Nothobranchius furzeri: one gene and its partner. The protein of the gene in region 1 interacts with the protein of each later gene in a pairwise test. Links are inferred from orthologs where the notes say so. Each region holds a gene or a part of one and is shown on either strand. Other genes may lie near its edges.

Evidence for each region.
Region 2: the proteins of kinesin-associated protein 3 (region 1) and ncf2 interact in binary tests that used the Homo sapiens proteins (3 or more experiments, as listed by UniProt). The two-hybrid records come from large-scale screens. The link is inferred for Nothobranchius furzeri from reciprocal best matches to the Homo sapiens genes KIFAP3 and NCF2.

What each region holds. Positions count from the first base shown.
Region 1 is NC_091751.1:58,724,636-58,735,099, reverse strand, and holds the start of kinesin-associated protein 3, read right to left. Parts: upstream 5,946-10,464; 5' UTR 5,813-5,945; coding exon 5,784-5,812; intron 4,518-5,783; coding exon 4,386-4,517; intron 4,254-4,385; coding exon 4,093-4,253; intron 3,957-4,092; coding exon 3,895-3,956; intron 3,797-3,894; coding exon 3,655-3,796; intron 3,577-3,654; coding exon 3,477-3,576; intron 3,400-3,476; coding exon 3,275-3,399; intron 3,173-3,274; coding exon 3,074-3,172; intron 2,981-3,073; coding exon 2,802-2,980; intron 2,689-2,801; coding exon 2,526-2,688; intron 2,000-2,525; coding exon 1,899-1,999; intron 1,819-1,898; coding exon 1,710-1,818; intron 1,631-1,709; coding exon 1,518-1,630; intron 1,413-1,517; coding exon 1,247-1,412; intron 1,160-1,246; coding exon 1,034-1,159; intron 949-1,033; coding exon 850-948; intron 750-849; coding exon 664-749; intron 582-663; coding exon 428-581; intron 1-427. Other genes in the region: pdca (phosducin a), read right to left, coding at 7,039-7,227, 7,880-7,992, 8,069-8,288, 8,366-8,502, 8,673-8,721. UniProt on the Homo sapiens protein: Involved in tethering the chromosomes to the spindle pole and in chromosome movement. Binds to the tail domain of the KIF3A/KIF3B heterodimer to form a heterotrimeric KIF3 complex and may regulate the membrane binding of this complex.
Region 2 is NC_091747.1:36,772,016-36,781,123, forward strand, and holds the start of ncf2 (neutrophil cytosol factor 2), read right to left. Parts: upstream 6,598-9,108; 5' UTR 6,576-6,597; coding exon 6,402-6,575; intron 6,070-6,401; coding exon 5,987-6,069; intron 5,913-5,986; coding exon 5,804-5,912; intron 5,575-5,803; coding exon 5,440-5,574; intron 3,602-5,439; coding exon 3,494-3,601; intron 3,353-3,493; coding exon 3,293-3,352; intron 3,087-3,292; coding exon 3,043-3,086; intron 2,893-3,042; coding exon 2,751-2,892; intron 2,665-2,750; coding exon 2,599-2,664; intron 2,444-2,598; coding exon 2,374-2,443; intron 354-2,373; coding exon 313-353; intron 241-312; coding exon 92-240; intron 1-91. Other genes in the region: garem (GRB2-associated and regulator of MAPK protein 1), read left to right, coding at 7,825-7,945. UniProt on the Homo sapiens protein: Subunit of the phagocyte NADPH oxidase complex that mediates the transfer of electrons from cytosolic NADPH to O2 to produce the superoxide anion (O2(-)).

The DNA of each region.
Region 1 (10,464 bases):
AAAAGCATTTAGAAATTTGAATGAGCTGTACAACCACTGCAGCGTGATAGCAGCTGCTAAATCAGCACAGACACCAAAAGCTTGGCAATTGTTTTAAAAGTAGCGAGACGTTTTCTGTGAGAATTTAGTAGCGTTTGTCTAATTATGTGACATTCTCATAACCGGTTATTCTGTATACCTTGTGAGATCAGATAAGAAGCCTGATTGTGTGGGCAGGTGACCCAGAAACATGAAGAAACCACAAACTTAAAGTTTGACCTGATTACATCACTGGATGCAAAAGGTGGACATGAATGTTGGAGCCACAGGAGGCCACAAGGCTAACATCTGGTCTGAGTGGCAGAAATAGACAAGGTCTAAAAAAATGCTTTTAGTGTGAAATTTGCACAAATAGAAGAATCTGCTGCAGCGCTCATCTGGTTTCTACCTGCGCTGTAGAACAGATCAGTCCTCTCGTCGTTATCGTACAGATACGGCTCAGACTCGTCCACTTGGCGACTCTCGACCATGTCCAACCACTGGTTGTTGTGGAAACGAAATTTCTCCGACTGGATTTTCCTCCCCCACTCCTCGTCGTACTCCTGTATATATACATATATATATATAAAACATCTGCGAGTAAAGGTGGAACAGGGTGAGGATACGATGTGCAGGTTCACTTACAGCGATTATGTCGAGCGTGTTGTCGCACACTTTTCTGATCTCGGTGTTCTTGTCGTGCATCAGGTCTATCAGGTAAGCGGGAGCCTCTGAGGAAACACTTAAAGAAAACTAGCAACCTAAAACTTTAGCTCGCATTAAAACCCAGTGAGAGGCGACTGCTGCAGAGAGCGCCCCTGGGAAGGATACGCGTGTCTTTGATGATGACGTCCCGTGTGGCTTGGTGAAACACCATCTGATAAAAGACGTAGACGATCTGACACACAAACTCGTCATCTTCTTGGCGCGCTGCATAAAGGACAGGACATGTGGAGTGAGAGTTGATAATAATCCAGGGAAAATGTCCTAATCTGGTTTTCTTTTTTATTTTTACCATTCAGTAGTTCAATAAGGGCAGGAATGATGCCAGATTTAGCCAACATGACAGCGCAGGCGTCATCCATGGAAACTGTTCCAATCATTATGACCACCTCCAGTATGAGGTCATCCTCTGCCGAGTCTGAAATATGAACAGAGAGGCTTTCTGGCAAACTGAGACAACGGGTAATTTCTTCTAATTCTGTCTTCTGAATGATTTAACTGATACCTGGTTTGAGATTGTCTTTGAGGAAAGGCACCAGGTTATATTCTTTCAGCAGCAGCTCCCAGTCCAGGTCAGGAATGGTGAGGTTGGCCAACGTTCCCAGACACTCCAGGATCCACACCTCCCCTTCTACAGCACGGATCTCTGCAGCCAGATCTCCCACATAGTCCTAGTGAAGATTACTCAGATCATCAGACAAAACAATCCTTCTGTGAAGCACGAGTGATGCTTTAGTTTGTCAAAATGACAAATTACTGTGTGTCTCACAACGTACTATAAACAGCGGCTTGGTTGGACCATCATGCTGTGAGATGTTTCTGATCATCTTCATCAGAAGGCAGTCTTTAGTCTTCAGAGCTCGCTTCATGAGCATCTTCAGTCCATTTCCTAAAACCGGAAAGGCACCAAGCAAAAGCTGTTCAGTTCAAATACAGATTTAGCCCTGAAACATCAAAAAACCAAATACCTTCACACATGAGCTGTGCGTTCTTCTTGTTAGCAGACAGGTTGATGCAGATGGAGATGAGTTCCACATCAATTTCCTCCTCGCCGTGGTCGTAGAGCATTTGCATGAGCTGGTTCCAGACACAAACACAGATTTGGCTCATCCTCTGGAACGCTCAGTCACTATGAATGGAAGTGGATCGTGGCGTACCTGAGGGATGCAGTCGGTGTAAACGAACATGCCTCTGAAGCGGTCGTCCATGCTGATGTGGTACAGGAGGCGCATGGCTACCTGTCGGTTATTCTCATCACCTGCATCGTAACAAACGTGTTCGAATATTCATACACTTACTACAATAATAATAATGATAATAATAATAATAATAATAATACATTTTATTTAAAAGCGCCTTTCAGGACACCCAAGGTCACTTTACAGAAAACACATGATAAAATACAATAAAACAATAATAAAACCCAAACAAGAAAAAACAAAGAGAGAAACAGTTCAAGGTTGTAGGCAGATTTAAACATGTGTGTTTTGAGTTTTGATTGGAAAAGGGTAAAACTGTCGATGTTCCTGATGTCTGGGGGAAGTGAGTTCCAGAGACGGGGAGCAGAGCGGCTGAAAGCTCTGCTCCCCGTCTCTGGAACTCATGGTAGCGAGACGGGCAGAAGGAACCGCAAGATGGATGGAAGAAGAAGATCTGAGTGAACGGGATGGGGTGTGAATACTTATAAGGTCTACAACGTAGTTCCTGTCAGACAGTGGGTTTGACTTCTGTCTCATTTCCGTCATTTACTCAGGAAGCTGTGAAGAATCTGTGTTTAACGTTACCCAACAACGCTGTCAGTTTGGGCACCAGCCCGACTTCCACCATCTTGGCTCGAAGTCCGGAGTCAAACGAGAGGTTGAGCAGCAGACGTAGAGTCAGATTCAACAAATCATCGTGTTCACAGGGAATCAGACGAGCCAGTCGCTCCACGGTGTCCAGCTCAGCCTGCGTGCCACACACACGGTCACATCAGAGCTGGACTAATGACAAAGCTTGCTGACTTCTTGTTAAAACAGGCAAAAGTAGTTAGTGTAGAACAACTAAGCCCTCCTGCTCACCATGTCGTTCTTATTCTCCAGGAAGATCGACAGCTTTTTGAGGAAGGAAACCACCAGAACCAGCAGCTCCTCATCATCACGGTCAAGAACTTTGACCAGCAGTCCAACAATGTTTTTGTTCCTCATCTTCAGCTCTGTCCTGGTGTCCTCAGCGAGGTTCAACAGCAGGTAGAGAGAAACTAAAAGGAAAAAAAAATGAACATAACCAAATAAATTCTATTTATAAGAGGTTTTAATCCCATGAAAATTTAAAAGGAAAAATCCTGTTTCACCTCTGAGCAGCTGCTCCTGCTTAGCCAGAAGGGCTTGGTATTTTCTCAGCGTTTTGTCCTGGTCTCGTCTTAAGGAGCCATTTTCTGGCGCAGACTCACGTGCACAAAAGATAGTCAAGGGCAACAGAAACAATACAGAAGACCTCAAAAAAATCGATCATCTTAAATTAAATGGACAAAATGATAGCAGAAAATGGATATAAGCTTTGTTTTTCTTGCGTAGCTCCTCACGCCACATGTCATGCCTCTTCAGTTCATGTTCCACCACACTCATACAAAGCGCTCCGATTTTATAGTGACTCACTGCAGCGTGAAACTGGGAGAAACTGGAGGAAGGGATGTGAAAGGATGAATCATTTAGAAGTACTGAAGGACCATCACGCCAGCTGTGCATCAGGGTTACCTTGAAAAGCAGAAGAAGATGTAAATGATAATAGTAGCAAGCTCTACGCTCTGTTTCCAGTCCTCTCTCAGAACCCGGGCCAGCGCACCTAAAGCTGCTTCTGTAGACACAAACAGGGAGAAATTCACGCTAAACAACTAGAGGATGGCTGCGTAAGCATGTTGGAAGGAACATGTACCGTTGTAAAGCAGCTCCTCCAGGTTATCTGGGTTACGGGCGAGCTGCAAAATGAGACCAGAGCCTCGGATCTTCTCTGGGAGGCCTTCATAAAGCAGCTCAACATACTCATCCATCTTTGTTATGCTAGCTTCCTCGTTCAACTACACACGAAAAATAAATAAAACAACAAAGAAAGAAACACACACTGTTACACCTAACACAACGAATGAGGAATGAAACGAGTACTTAACATCATTACCTCCGTTCCCTCAAATGGTGTCAGATCTTTAGGCTTCACTGTTTTCTTCTCTTTCTTTTCCACTAAAGGCAAACAAGAAAAGCAGTGAATGTTTTACATCCTGCTTCTTAATGTCACTGTGCAGTTAGTCCCTCTCATACTTTATTGGTGTGTTTGAACAATAAATCAGAGCTAACAGGTAAAAGCTTCTAAACGTACCCCCTTTGGCCTCCACTGGGGAGGATTTCCTGTTCTGTAGGTAATAAAGCAGCTGCTCCACCTGTGGCAAGCGGGAGGCGGGGATGAGTTTACACTCCTCTACCACTTTCCTGGCCAAAGCGGCCACATCTGTAGTAGGAGAGAGGCTTTTCACGCGGATTCTGAAGGGGAAAGGAGAAGGATGACACATAACATGTTACATAAACCAGCAAAAACTGCCATTAACTGGTTATTTCTAATAAGATAAAGAACAGGGGCAGATGCTGTCAACGATAAATTAGGAGCTTACTCACATTTTTTGTCCCTCCTTGCGTTCACCCAGCATCGGACCTCCATTCTCCCCCAGGATGGATGCCTCCACCTCATACTGGACCACAAGGGCTTTCTCAGTGGGATGGACATCCAAACTGCCTGCAGTCACTTTTCTATGAATGATAATAAACAGTTTACGCCTGTGGTTTTAGTTTCCAAAGTAAATCTGAGTTAAATACAATTATTTCCATAATGCAATTTAAAGAGCAAGTCACCCCCTACAAGAAACTTACTTCACTCCCTCTTCATGTTTGAAAAATGCAACAAATGCTGTTGCCTAGCAGACCGAGAGGGCGGAGCCACTAACAAATACACACACACAGGCTCACAATGGCATTGTGACATCATAATAGACCAGTTTACATCATAGCATACCTCTTAGCCAATAGCGGTGGCAGATTTAAATTCAAATGCAGTGCAGAGTTTTTACCTGACAACAGCGCAACACTGACAGTTTTAGGCAGAATATTTAAATTTTAACTAAGATGCACTGAAGTATCAAATTATTGACGACACGTGTCTGCAGCACAGTTAGTTACACATTTATATAGTTTATCAGCAAGAAAAAGTTGATTTGGGGGTGACTTGCTCTTTAATGTTGAATGCAGTAATAAGCTCTTGGCAGTGACAGCTATTTTTATTATATGTGTTCCTGGATCAAAAGCAGTAGGACACGCCCATGCACAAACATAACAAAGACTGCTTTTATTTAAAAAAAAAGCTAAACCTCGTCAGCTACAACACTGAATCAAATGTCCCGTGATAAACCTAGTTAGTATGATTTATTATCCGGCTACATTGTTTTTATGTTTAACAGAATCTTCAGGGTTAGCAGGAGCCCAGATTTCCCAGCATTCCTTCCTCTCTGGAGCAGTTCCACTGATTATTACAGTTAACAGGAGGATTGCGACTGAAACGTTTCTTCCAGAAACAGATGCAAGAAAAAGCACATGATACTAAAATCCTGTTGTTGGTCTCTCGTTCTGATGAGCTAAACGCTAACGAAGCAGGGGGCGGTGATTGTAGAAATGCTTTTCAGGAATAGTGTATCTTATAGGTGACAGCTGTGTGAAATTCGTTTATGCCGAATGATTTCGTGGCTCGGGATAGTTAATAATTGCCTATATTCGAAATAAACAGGAATGGTCCAATCTTCAGTCCAGCGTCGGAACCTTAAATTCCCCTAAATTTTAAACAAGACATCGGGTTCAACCTCCAAGCATACAGCTGCACACTAAAACTAGGACGAATTCAAATTAAAACAATAATTAAAACACTCTTACGTCTCACCCAGAGATTATTACTTGTCATCCCTAAAATTATATCAACATGGCTAATTTCAACGGCCAGTACGGTTCTAGCCGCACCTTTCAACTCACCGTTTGAGGTACCGCGCGTCATCCTGCATTTTCTTCCGATTTATGGCTTCAAATTTTTAATTTAACAATTTAAGATCACCTGAAGGATCTCCTGGACAAATAACAACCATTCGAGTCTTTTATTTATCCTCTAAAGACCGCTGAACCTCAAGGTATTCTTTTTCTACTTAACAGGCAGCCTTTAGAGAACACTACTGCCCCCTAGTGGACTGGTTATAGAAATATATGATTCCAACTCTAATGATGTAATTAAGTATTTATTAATTTAAAAAAAAATAAGAAAAATTTGGCTAGAAATATATAATAACTTTACTTTTTACACTTTCATATTTTGTGTGTGTCTTTTTGGGGATAAAAGGTTTAATCTAATATTTACTCCTTATCCTATGTTGCTATTTTGTGCATATTGTTTTGGGGTCAGATTTTTTATTCCTTTAATGCCTCTATGAACTGGGATGCACATTAAGCTTCCAGCTGTCACTCTGAGAGGAGCTTAAAATTTGTTTTGTCTAAAACCTGGACTATATTTGACTTGTTTTGAGATGGCAAAACACGGATGCTGATAAAAATGCTAAATAAACCAGAACATTTAGAACGCTTTGTTCTCACTTCAGAGCCACTCGGATTTAATGTATAAATATTATCAGTGCTTCCTAAATTACTATTACTTTTTTCATTTAACCACCTCTATACTGAGAGGATGTAATACTTGGTAGTGCACAGCAGAATTTATTATTTTTCCACATAAATAATTTCCACGTTCCCAAAAGACATCAGTTATCTTTTCCCTCTCGACAGTAAAGTCCTCCTGGTTCCTCTGTGCCTTTATAATCACTCTGAGAGCAGAAAGGTCAATTTCCACATGAGTCTCATGACTTTAATTTAGCTTAAACCACATATTCACATCACGTAATGCAAACCATTACACAAGCCTTTTAGTTAGAGGAATTATATTTTCATGGTAGCAGCAGCATAATGTTCCATATGTTGCATCTTCCTAATCTGGAATTAATGCACATGGAAATAACTTCCTGTTTTCCATTTCAACAGACAGAAAGAGTTCGAATAAATATCTTTTATTGGAGTGCAATGATACAAGTTTCTGCAAAGCAGGGTTTCTGTACGGACTTCCTCACGCCTACATTCTAAGGCATCAGCATGAGTATTGTTGACTGTTGGGTGCTCGTTCTTTAATTTGCGTGCATGTGACCTGATTGAAACACGTTTTATGACATTCTCTGTCTTTCTTCATCTTCTACTCCACGTCTGCTCCATCGTCTTCATCATCCGCACACGCAGTGAACTCCTTCTCTGGTAAGAGGCCGTATTCATTGAGAAACGCCTCCACATCTGTGGCAAAGAACTCTTCATTGAGGTGTTTGGTGACAGCCAGGAAGTTACCCAGTAACTCCCCGGCCTTGTAGACCAGCAGGGTCGGGAGAACCTGAGATGATTGAAACAATAATCAGATTGTTTCAGAAGACAATTATTTATCAGTGACAGTACCAATACATTCTAATGTCTCGGTTTTTAAATGTATTTTTAATGAATATTGATAATTAATATGTAGTTTTAGGCTGCAGAAACACCAAACTAACCAATCTAAATAAAAATTCTAAGTTTTATTAGAATTTCAGGTATTTTTAAAGCCTGCTGCTGTTGTATTTTCAGGTTTTGTGCAGGACACAGCTTCTCTGTTATTACAAGTTTTTAATTTTATTTAATGGACAGAAAGCACGTGAATTGGTCATGATCTAATTTTAAATTCAGAGTTGATTTCTCTTTAGAAAAGGCCAATCTTGGTCTGTTTGTTTATTGTGTTTGCAGTCCTACAGGAAGGGATATTGAAACGTTCATGGCAAGTTCTCTCCAACAGCAAAACCATAAAACTCAGATCTCTTTCTTCTGGGATTTAAAAAGCAAACTCATTTTAGATCAAGTCCACTGCAAAGCTCTTGGGCTTCGAAAATGTTTATTCTTACTAAAACGATACAGCTAAAACCTAGAACACTTTAGTAATGTCAATCTATTCTCAAAATTACGGTCAACTAAAGTATTCATTTTTATTCTTTGTTTTTATTTTGTAATGCACAAACCTCAGAGGAGAAGCGCTCTGCAGCACCTGACGCCACAGCATCAATACGACAAAACTTAACAGTGGGGTACTCCGCTGCCAGGCACTCCAGACTCGAGTTCATCTGCTCACAGCCTGATAGAGGACGGACAAGTAAATGAGGTTAGGAGGCAGGGACATGTAGCACTGTCACAGGAAAGAGGAGCCCGACCGTTGACCCCATGCTGATAAATGTGGACCACCACCAGGGTCATCCGATGCTCCCTCTCTATCACTTCCAGGAAGGCCTCTCCACTCTCCAGCTCGTGGACACATTCAAACCTGGGACCGAAGCTCAGACGCTCATGCATTTCCTGCATGCACTGCTTTCTGTAGCGTTTCAGGCAGCGCTCATCCTCGTCTTTGATCAGTTCGTACTCCTGAGCGCCCATCTGAATACAGGAAGTACAGCTCTTCTCAGGAATCTGAGCAGATTATTAAATCTGGTTTCCTGCGCGTCCTTTCTCACCTTTCTGTTAGCTCTCTCCTTGTCGTCCTCCCGAGGATTGGACATCTGTCTGAGCAGCTCTTTCTTTTTTTGAGGGACTGTCTGGTCCACACTGTCCAGTTTGAACCTTCTCCAGTCATTAATAACACCCTTTGGACCTGGACACAGCAGAGATATCTGTTAGAGGTATTTGACCATTAAAAATATATTCATGCTTTCATTTACTGAAATGTATTTTTAAATGAGTGGGCAAGATAAATTAATATTTCTACATTGAGCTGTGATACATAACAATAGCAAGCTAAATAGTTATTTTAGTATCTCCAACCTGTGTGATTTAACGGCAGCTCCTCCTCTTCCTGTGTAGCAGCAGACATCCTAGCAGGTGAAATGACATTATTTAAATGTGAAATCTAGTCAAGATCAACTATTCTTTACAGAATTTGACAATTCAATAGTCATTCTTCATCACATGTAAACCTCTTAAAAGTACAAATCATTCAATAATCTATCAATTATATCACAAGGGTTCTGAAACGCAGAACTGGCCCATATTTGAGTAAAGAATTGGCCTCACTCAAACTTAAATTTTAATGCTGGATGCTGAGCTTGTTAAGATGATGACTCTAATTGTGTTTTATTGTGTACTTTGTATGGTTACACGTCTAAATCTAAAGTGTTCCTTATGTTTGCATAATTACTCAGTTGTCAGAAACACTTACAGCCAATCAGGCTAAAGTTTACTTATCAGATTAGTCTGAGATTATGGTTAGTCTGACATGCACACACGCTGAGCACATCTTATATGTGTACATGTGTGTGTTGTGACACACATGTATGAAAAAGCTAATGTATCATTTTGTTATCAATCACATTTTACTTTTGTGTTTGGATGTTGTTTTTTCTTGACATGGAGAATATCAGCCTTCAATATTTTGACTAACATTTAAATTTGCCCTTATATTGCTACAACATTTTTAAACAATAAATTTTATATTTGAGGTTTGAAAAAATGAGAATTAAAATGAAATATGAATTAAATGTGAAATGGTACACTGTTCTCTGGACTCATAGTCTTCATCGAAAGATGCTGAGGTGATGATGACAGTGGGGTCCTGATTAAAGTCACATCACTCAAACAACCGATCAAGCTTATGAGTCAGAAGAAGCTAATTCTTTCTTGTTACCAAACCAATGCATAGCTGCATTTTCTTTATTCTAACATACCACCTTTCTATAAATAAACATGCACCCTGGCAGGCGATGTTTTTTAACACTAAATCTTCTGACTAGAAGGAGCATAGCACCGTTTTTCTAATAAGATAACAACAATTGAAATAAATCTCTAAATAAGTTTTCTTTATTTTACTTTAGCATGAAAAAATAACCCTATTACTCTTTTTCTGAAACAGGAACAAGCACGGTTAGGCTAAAATACTTACATTTGATATAAGATGTACAATTGCTGTCTAAATAAAAGAGTTTTTACCTTTGTGGCTGAGATGAGAAGTGTTGTCAGGTTTTAGTAACGTGTAAAAACGTATCTCCTGCCTGTCTGGGCATCCACTGACTGGAAAACCTGCAGCAAAGAGGCGTACATACGTTTGGAAAGGGGTGGGGGTGGCAATGAGATGAGGGTGTAAGCTTTATCTCAGGCGTCATCTTCACTGCCACTGGAATGTGATGTTGTTTCATACAAGCTGTTGACCAACTGTGTGTGTTAAAAGCAAAGGTTTTTAAAATTGTTCTTTAAATTCCAAGAGAAAATAAATATTAAAACAACACAAAGTCGTAATCCCCAAAAAGTATCATCAACTAAGTTTTGAAGAATCAAGAAAAAAAAAAAACTCGCTGTTTTGGCATTTTTTATGTTCTGTTTTTTCAGTCGTCCTTTTCAAATTCACATGCATGTTAAATATACGATCATGGACCCTTTCACGAGAGTATTAGAGGCTGTCAGCGAAACTATTAGTTGGATTTAGTCAAGATATTCAGTATGGTGATGGAGAAGTGGTTATAGTTTTAATGTAATAATGAAAAGATGACATAAAAATAACCGTTTCTCACAAGGAGAAAACTACTCGTCCCTGGGTGGGCTCGAACCACCAACCTTTCGGTTA
Region 2 (9,108 bases), on another chromosome or scaffold:
AAACAAACAGGACTGACTTTATTTTACTTTGTAAAAGTAAAAAGTATGTAAACATAACTCAGAATTGTTCTGACTGAAGTGACTTTTGTACCTCAAAGAGATAGCAGTAGGAGGAAGATTTAACTTCTTGCTGACTTTTCCTATCAGTACCACATACGGAGACCCACGCGGTACGGAAACCGCAAAGTTGAATGTGAAATGGATTTTGACTGTATATGAGCTGTCTGTTGGCTGGACCACCTAATAAGGAAGAGTCACACCTGAATTTAAAAGGCGAGGATCATTTTAACAGTGAACATGTTGGAGCCAAACCTGCGGAGTTCTCCCACTGCTGCTCTCCACTGGAGTGAGACCTTAAAAGGAGAAAGGAGGTCTAATTACCTCATCGGGACTGGAGGGGCAAAGCCTGGTTTTGATGAGGTGAAGGGTTCTTGATAACCCTTTAATGCCAAACGTATAAAACATACTACCAGCTTTCATAGACCTTTATCTAACAGGATTAGTACATTCCTTCAGTTTTTGTGCCACTGGATTTTTTTCTCCTGTTTTCTTGCGGACGATGTACATTAAAGTATTCAGACCCCCATAAATGTTTCACAGTGTGGCAAGGTGGAGAAACGAGGGCCCGGGCGGGATGCGATCCCTAGACTCCCGGGTGCGAGTCATGCCCGCTAACCAGTCAGCCAAATATCCCTTTGGCGAAGTAGCCAGGGCACATGATCAATCGGGACCCTGTGACAGGACACTCACCCTGCCGCATCTCTTTTTATATTGCAAACATTTGGTAAAATCAATTAAATTCTTTATCCCTTCATTAATGTACACAGAGCACCCCATATTGAGAGAATAACTCAGAATTTTAGAGATTTCTGCAGGTTTATTAAAAAAGACAAACTGATACATCACATGGTCCTGAGTACTCAGACCCTTTGCTCGGTATTTAGTAGAAGTACCTTTTGAGCTAGTACAGCTATGAGTCTTCTTGGTAAAGATGCAACAAGTGTCTTACATCTAGATTTGGGGATCCTGTCATTCCTCCTGCAGATCCTCGCCAGTTCTGTCAGGTTGGATGGTGAACAGTGTGCCATTTTTAGGTCTCCAGAGAGGCTCAGTTGGGTTTAAGTCAGGGTTCTGGCTGGGCCTTTTAGTTGCTGTGAAGCCACCCCTTCGTTATTTTAGCTGTGTGTTTAGGGTCACTGTCATGTTGGAAGGTAAACCTTCAGCCCAGTCTGAGGTCCTGAGCACTCTGGAGAAGGTTCTGGTCCAGGATATACCTGTACTTGGCCGCATTCATCGTTTCCTCTATTGCAACCAGTCGTCCTGTCCCTGCAGCTGAAAAACACCCCCACAAAATGATGCTGCCACCGCCATGCTTCACTGTGGGGACTGTATTGGACAAGTGATGAGCAGTGCCAGGTTTTCTCCAAACATACCACTTAGAATTATGGCCATAAAGTTCTATCTTGGTCTAAGACCAGATAATCTTATTTCTCACCATCTCGGGGTCCTTCAGGTGTCTTTTAGCAAACTCAATGAGGATTTTTACGAGTCTTGCACTGAAGCGAGGCTTCCGACGGTCCCCTCTGCCGTAAAGCCCTGACTGGTGGAGGGCTGCAGTGACAATTTCTACAGCCTGCTTTAGGAAGCAAACATCTTCCATTTAATGATTATGGAGGCCACTGTACTCTTAGGAACCTTAAGAGCAGCAGAGATGTTTTGGTAACCATGGCCAGATCTGTGCCTCGCCACAATTCTGTCTCTGAGCTCTTCAGGCAGTTCCTTTGATCTCACGATTCTCATTTGCTCTGACATGCATCATGAGCTGTAAGGTTTTATATAGACAGATGTGTGTCTTTCTTAATCAAGTCCAGTTAGCATAATCAAACCCAGCTGGACTCCAATGAAGGTGTTGGACCATCACAAGTATGATCAGAAGAAATGGAAAGCACCTCACAGCAAAGGGTCTGAATACTAAAGACCATGAGATATTTCAGGTTTTCTTTTTCAATACATACATTTCTAAAATTCTGTGTTTTTCTGTCAATATGGGATGCCATGTGTACATTAATGAGGGGAAAAAAAGCAAATGGCTGCAATATAACAGTGAAAAAATGATGAGGGTCTGAATACTTTCCATACCCACTGTATGTATTGCATGAGATAAAAGTAAATCACATTTTATTACCCAACAAAAATATTTCACTTCTTATCACCTTGTGATAAATGGATCAGTCTTGTGAAAAATATGGGAATAAAAGCAGGTTTTATAGTGTATACCCAAACCAGGGGTCGTGTATGGTTAGGGGACTGTTTCAGCTTGGGCTACACAAATTAATGGCAGCATTAATACAAATGTGTAGTTGTGAGATCTACCTTTCCTCTCAGGTCTGGTTGGTGGTTCTTGACTCAGAGGTCTGGCTAAACCCTGATAATTGTTCCCAATCAAAATATGGGAAAAGGAAAAAAAAAACATTAAAGAAGTCAAGTTTCCATACTGTTCAACGTAGCCTAAGTAAATTTTAAAGAACAACGAGTTTTTCTGGACTATGTCCAGAGAAAATGATGCCGAACAGGAAGTCACTGATACAGCAGCCCTACCTTGTGTTGATTTGAAGCCAAGGAAATTTCCAAACGCTCTAGGTAATTGTAAGGAACAAGTCCTCTCTGTAATCGACATCATACTGGATAATAATCAATAGAACTTAAAAACATAAATTACTAATTCAGCCCATCCCTGATTTTAGTCCTACTCTTTCATTGAAGACCACGTAGGCCCAGTTGTCGTCACCCTTCTGCAGCACAAACACAATGTTTCCTGGCACAACAGCCAACTCATCACTGGTCTCAGGGTCAAACTCAAACAGCACGGTGTGTGGTTCTCCTTGTAGAGCTCTGTGGAGACGAGATGTCCACATGTCCTCGTGAGAAACAGAACAATTAGAATATGATGATTATATTTTATCTGCTGTTTGGTTTATCTATTTGGGACATGTTCACTTTCAGATCACAGCAAAAGAAAATCTAATACATGTTCAAACTGACCTCAAAACTTCTGGTTCTTTTGGAGAAGTTGGACCATCTTCGACCTAACAAAATACAGGACTTTCACTTTTAACCACCATTGCAAAAAGGCTTTATATTTCACATCGTAAAGAACTAATGTACATATGACGCTGCTCAGACTTCCCCTCGTCATGAGTGGATTTGATCTGCCCTGGTATATTAGAGGCTAATGAAACATTTATTTATCTTCTGAGGACTTTATTGGTCTCAGTTTGATTTGATTCCTCACCTGCGGTTGTAGCGGGGCAAACCCAGAGAACTCATCTTGTGGAACCACAGAGGAAACAACCTAATGTTTCGAAAAATACATTTTAAATGGAGTTTTATGCCGTTCTTCATCAATAATATATATCTGTAAATCTGAATAATCCACAATTAAAATGGATTATGTTAAAATCTGTGATTGTTGGTCTGGTTGTTATATGCATACCTTAGCTTTGCCCAGGTAGTCCTTTTTCTCCAGCTCAGCCACATAGTGCTTGTTTGGTCTAAACAGCATTTTCAAAGGGAATTCCACCGGTTTGAAAAGCTTTTGTTTCTGTCAGAAAAAAAAAACACATATTGAAAAGTATTACTTAAATTAATTTGAAAGATTTTGGGATTTTAGAAGATTCACTTACAGTGGGGCAAAAAAGTATTTAGTCAGCCACCGATTGTGCAAGTTCTCCCACTTAAAATGATGACAGAGGTCAGTAATTTTCATCATAGGTACACTTCAACTGTGAGAGACAGAATGTGAAAAAAAAATCTATGAATTCACATGGCAGGATTTTTAAAGAATTTATTTGTAAATCAGGGTGGAAAATAAGCATTTGGTCGCTTCAAACAAGGAAAATCTCTGGCTCTCACAGACCTGTAACGTCTTCTTTAAGAAGCTTTTCTGTCCTCCACTCGTTACCTGTATTAATGGCACCTGTTTGAACTCATTATCTGTATAAAAGACACCTGTCCACAGCCTCAAATAGTCAGACTCCAAACTCCACTATGGCCAATACCAAAGAGCTTTCGAAGGACACAAGGAAAAGAATCGTAGACCTGCACCAGACTGGGAAGAGTGAATCTACAATAGGCAAGCAGCTTGGTGTGAAAAAATCAACTGTGGGAGCAATTATCAGAAAACGGAAGACATACAAGACCACTGATAATCTCCCTCGATCTGGGGCTCCACGCAAGATCTCATCCCGTGGGGTCAAAATGATCATGAGAACGGTGAGCAAGAATCCCAGAACCACACGGGGGGGGGGGGGGGGGGGGGGACCTGGTGAATGACCTGCAGAGAGCTGGGACCACAGTAACAAAGGTCACCATCAGTAACACACTACAACGGCAGGGAATCAAATCCTGCAGTGCCAGACGTGTTCCGCTGCTGAAGCCATTGCATGTCCAGGCACGTCTGAAGTTTACCAGAGAGCACATGGATGATACAGCAGAGGATTGGGAGAATGTCATGTGGTCAGATGAAACCAAAGTAGAACTTTTTGGTATAAACTCAACTCGCCGTGTTTGGAGGAAGAAGAATACTGAGTTGCATCCCAAGAACACCATTCCTACTGTGAAGCATGGGGGTGGGAACATCATGCTTTGGGGCTGTTTTTCTGCTAAGGGGACAGGACGACTGATCCGTGTTAAGGACAGAATGAATGGGGCCATGTATCGTGAGATTCTGAGACAAAACCTCCTTCCATCAGTGAGAGCTTTGAAGATGAAACGTGGCTGGGTCTTCCAACACGACAATGATCCCAAACACACCGCCCGGGCAACAAAGGAGTGGCTCCGTAAGAAGCATTTGAAAGTCCTGGAGTGGCCTAGCCAGTCTCCAGACCTCAACCCCATAGAAAATCTGTGGAGGGAGTTGAAAGTCCGTGTTGCTCGGCGACAGCCCCAAAACATCACTGCTCTCGAGAAGATCTGCATGGAGGAATGGGCCAAAATACCAGCTACTGTGTGTGCAAACCTGGTAAAGACCTATAGTAATCGTTTGACCTCTGTTATTGCCAACAAAGGTTATGTTACAAAGTATTGAGTTGAATTTTTGTTATTGACCAAATATTTATTTTCCACCCTGATTTACAAATAAATTATTTTAAAATCCTGCCATGAGAATTCATGGATTTTTTTTCACATTCTGTCTCTCACAGGTGAAGTGTACCTATGATGAAAATTACTGACCTCTGTCATCATTTTAAGTGGGAGAACTTGCACAATCGGTGGCTGACTAAATACTTTTTTGCCCCACTGTATCTTCTTCCTTCCAAAACCCAAATAGCCAACACCTATGCTGATAAAATGTTGATTTCTAAACATATGTGGATGTGTGTAATTGAATTATATTAATGAAGTGTAACCGTATTTTATGAGAGGATGATCGTAACTGACCAGGGTTGACTGCAGAGCCCTGTCGATGAGGCTGAGCTTGGCATCTGTCTTGTAGTCCAGTGCCTTGACCAGGTTTTCCTGGGCCTTTTCCCAGCTACCCAGCTTAGCTTCAGCCAGGGCAAGATTGTGGAGAACCTGAAGCAGGAGGTGTCGACGTGACACTGAGTTAGGAGCTTTTCAGTCACACCGTCTTATCAGGTTTATTTGAAGCCCTCATATTGAAAACTGAATTAGGAAGAGCTGAGGCTTCAACGGTTTCCTCTTTGCAAGAATATATAAATCACATTGAAAATGAGGAATTACCATCATCAGCCAGCTTTATTTTAACCTCAGATTTCTGACGGACAGTAGAGCTAAAGCTCACCTCACAGGCATATAGGATGTATCTGAGACCTAGTGCTTTGTAATCGATCAGCTGGTTACCCCTCAGAGCTTTAAAGGCTCTCTGGAAATCAGCTGAACTCTCCTCATACCTGTGACCAAGACAAGTAAAGGTAATAATTATTACACATAAGGCAAGTTTTATAAAACATTTGATGTAATTTACCTTTTCTTTTTGTAAAATGTCATTCCCCTCTGAAAGAAGGCAACTGCCAAATGCTCATCCTTGCGAATGCTGCAGTCAAACGCCTGAGAAATAACAGGTAAGAAAATAACTTCCTCTAAAGGAGCAGAAAGCCGGTGACACCACTTCTTCTTTCACTGTGACTTGCACTTTCAGAAACCTCTATAGGGAGCCTAAGTCACGTCCTTCCGGACCATGGGTCCTCAGCTGCCAAGAAAATTGAAATTGAATATTTTCTGATCCTGTTTGATCTGTTCAGGGGACCCGTGAGCCAACCGGAGGGCTCCTTATATCTGACACGTTTCATCTCAGCCTTGCCAAATAAATCCAGATGATTTTACTTTCTTACGTGCACAGACTTGCAGATTTGATTTAAAATAAAGTAGATCTAACGTACCTTTTCAGCATCATCCAAGTCTTGGTTCAGAAGATGAAGGCAACCAATGTCAAAGTAAATTTTGGAATTTGGTTCTTGAATGGATAAGAAAATGCAGAGGGCTTCTGACCATTCCTGTCTGTCGGCACAAGTTACAGCTTTGTCCCACTGCCGCAGAGTGTCCACATAAGACATGTTTGTTGGCTTACCAGCACACTGATTCTACATTGAGGAAGTTCTTCTTATTTGTACCAGTGAAACTGGGAAGTGTGATGACAGCTGTTACGATTTACAAATGCATCACAATCAGCTCTAAGTGCTAAAGCCACATTTAAATTATTTTCTCCCGTTCAGTGCAATAATTGCACTCTAACTTACTGCTGATGTACCAAACAATTTGCACATTGTGTCCAGGAAATATGTATATTTTTATATCTACTTTTTCAGATGGTCTTGTGTTTATTTTTTATCTGGTATGTCAAATGCTCTATTTGAGTTCCATCAATATTAGCCTACAGTTAACAAAAGCTTTATGATTTAGATTCTAGAGATTTTCTATCTTTGAATAAATTGTGGGTTTAAATGTGTGTGTGTGTGTGTGTGTGTGTGTGTGTGTGTGTGTGTGTGTGTGTGTGTGTGTGTGTGTGTGTTTAGCTCTAAACTAACGTTGGCATTTTATAAGCAGAAAAGCTTGAGATGCATAATGAAAAATGTTTCACATCTAATTGATTTCTAGTATTTTTTAAATAATTATTTTTTAACTTTATTTTGTAAATTTACAAACAAACATGGCACTTTGACAATGTTAAATCCAAAACTCAAATTGATTTCCAGTGTTGTAACGACCTTAACTTTGATGACATTCAGACATTTTTACTGAAATAAGTAATGTTCAGATTATTGTTTGTTCTTCTTTAATAATTCTAAATTTATTGAGCTGCAATATTTATTTAGTAAATATATGATGTGTTTTTGTGCCAAATGCACAAAAACAACTTCCGGGTTTTTCCTTTCAAAATAAATTTCTTGTGACATGACTATAATCACAAAATACTGGTGCGTTTTCTTACAACACTAACATCATATTATAAATGTGTATTTATATATTCTCAAGGAATTCAACGATTTCGCCTTTCAATAATAACGTATCTTCTTTACTTGAATGTATAAAATGCTCTTATTTTGATAGAGTAAAAACGTTTATCCGTTAGCTCATCGCTAGCTAAACAAACATGGCTCTACTACACTTTCGGAGTACGAACCTTTATGATGCGTAGAACAAATGAAAATTGGAGCTATGTAAGGATTAACAAGAAATAAGTCATGTTTGGTATGACTGTTTAGATTAAGTTGCTATATTATTTGTGTTGGTAGCTCGGAGCACCCTTTTGTGTCCGTATTTACACACAGCTAGCTCCAGAGTTGGCTAATGTGAGCTAACAAGATGGACCTTGGAACAATGTTGTACAATAATTTGAAAGATGTTACTTGGAGCTCAACGTCTTTACCTTTGGATCAGCTTGTCAGTGCATATAAAATGCCCCAAATCGTCAAACTGGACAGCGGTTAGTAACTTTGTTATTATGCATTTAAAGCAGTCATCTTTGCGCTAAACATCAACAAACTGTTAAGTTGGTGTTTATATATATATATATATATATATATATATATATATATATATATATATATATATATATATATATATATATATATATATATATATATATATATATATATATATGTATGTCTTAATGATGCTTACATTCTCAAGCATTTTGTAGCCAAAGTGCTGCATCTGCTTGACAGACTACATTATTGTACCACAGCAACTTTTTATTATTGAATGCTTTCATGCATCCTCACATCACAACAAAACATCTTGATTTATGGTCAGCACTGATCCGCTTCTCAAGACTGCATTTATGTCACTCTAGACTATCTGAAGCATTGAAACTGTCAAAATGAATAATTAAACAGATGTATCAGCCACAGTCACATTTAGTTGTCTATTAAATAGATATCTTTATTTTAAACTCTACCAAACTGCCTTGTTGCTGTATTATAATGTTCAGAAATCTGTAAGATAACCGAAAATCTTTTTATTTTATTTTATCAAATGTCATTCTAATCACAGCCAATAAGTAAAAAGTTTCCTATATAAGGAACCCAGCAGGTTGCATCGAGTCACTGACTAGTGTCAGAGTCTTTACAGCAATCCTCATACTAAGCAAGCATTTAGCGACAGTGGAGAGGGAAACTCCATTTTAACAGGAATAAACTCCAGAGGATCCTGGCTCAGTATAAGCAGCCATGTAAATTTGTTACTGACTCCTGCAGGTGCGCAGATATTTTACATGTTATGCACAGAGAACATCGCAGAGGTAATCAAGATTTCTATCAGTGCATCTGAGCATAATCTCACACTTTCTCCTTATCTTGCTGCTGACAGTGTGCCCAAGTAGTGCGCTGAAGGGAGCTCAGAGAGCGTCTGGCGCACTCGACATCGTGCACAATAGCGCAGTGTTGAGTGGAAACCCTTCTATCTTTCCGAGAGTCTGGTATACTTCTGTTTATGTGTCATTAAATAATTAGATTTTTAAACTTTGGCTTAAATAGTGCTTGTTATCCAGCAATTGCCTTGAATCCAGCGTGTCAGCGGACCGCAGATTCATCCATAACAACATTTAAACATCCACAAGTCTGTCTGAAACAAAAGCCCAGAACCTCA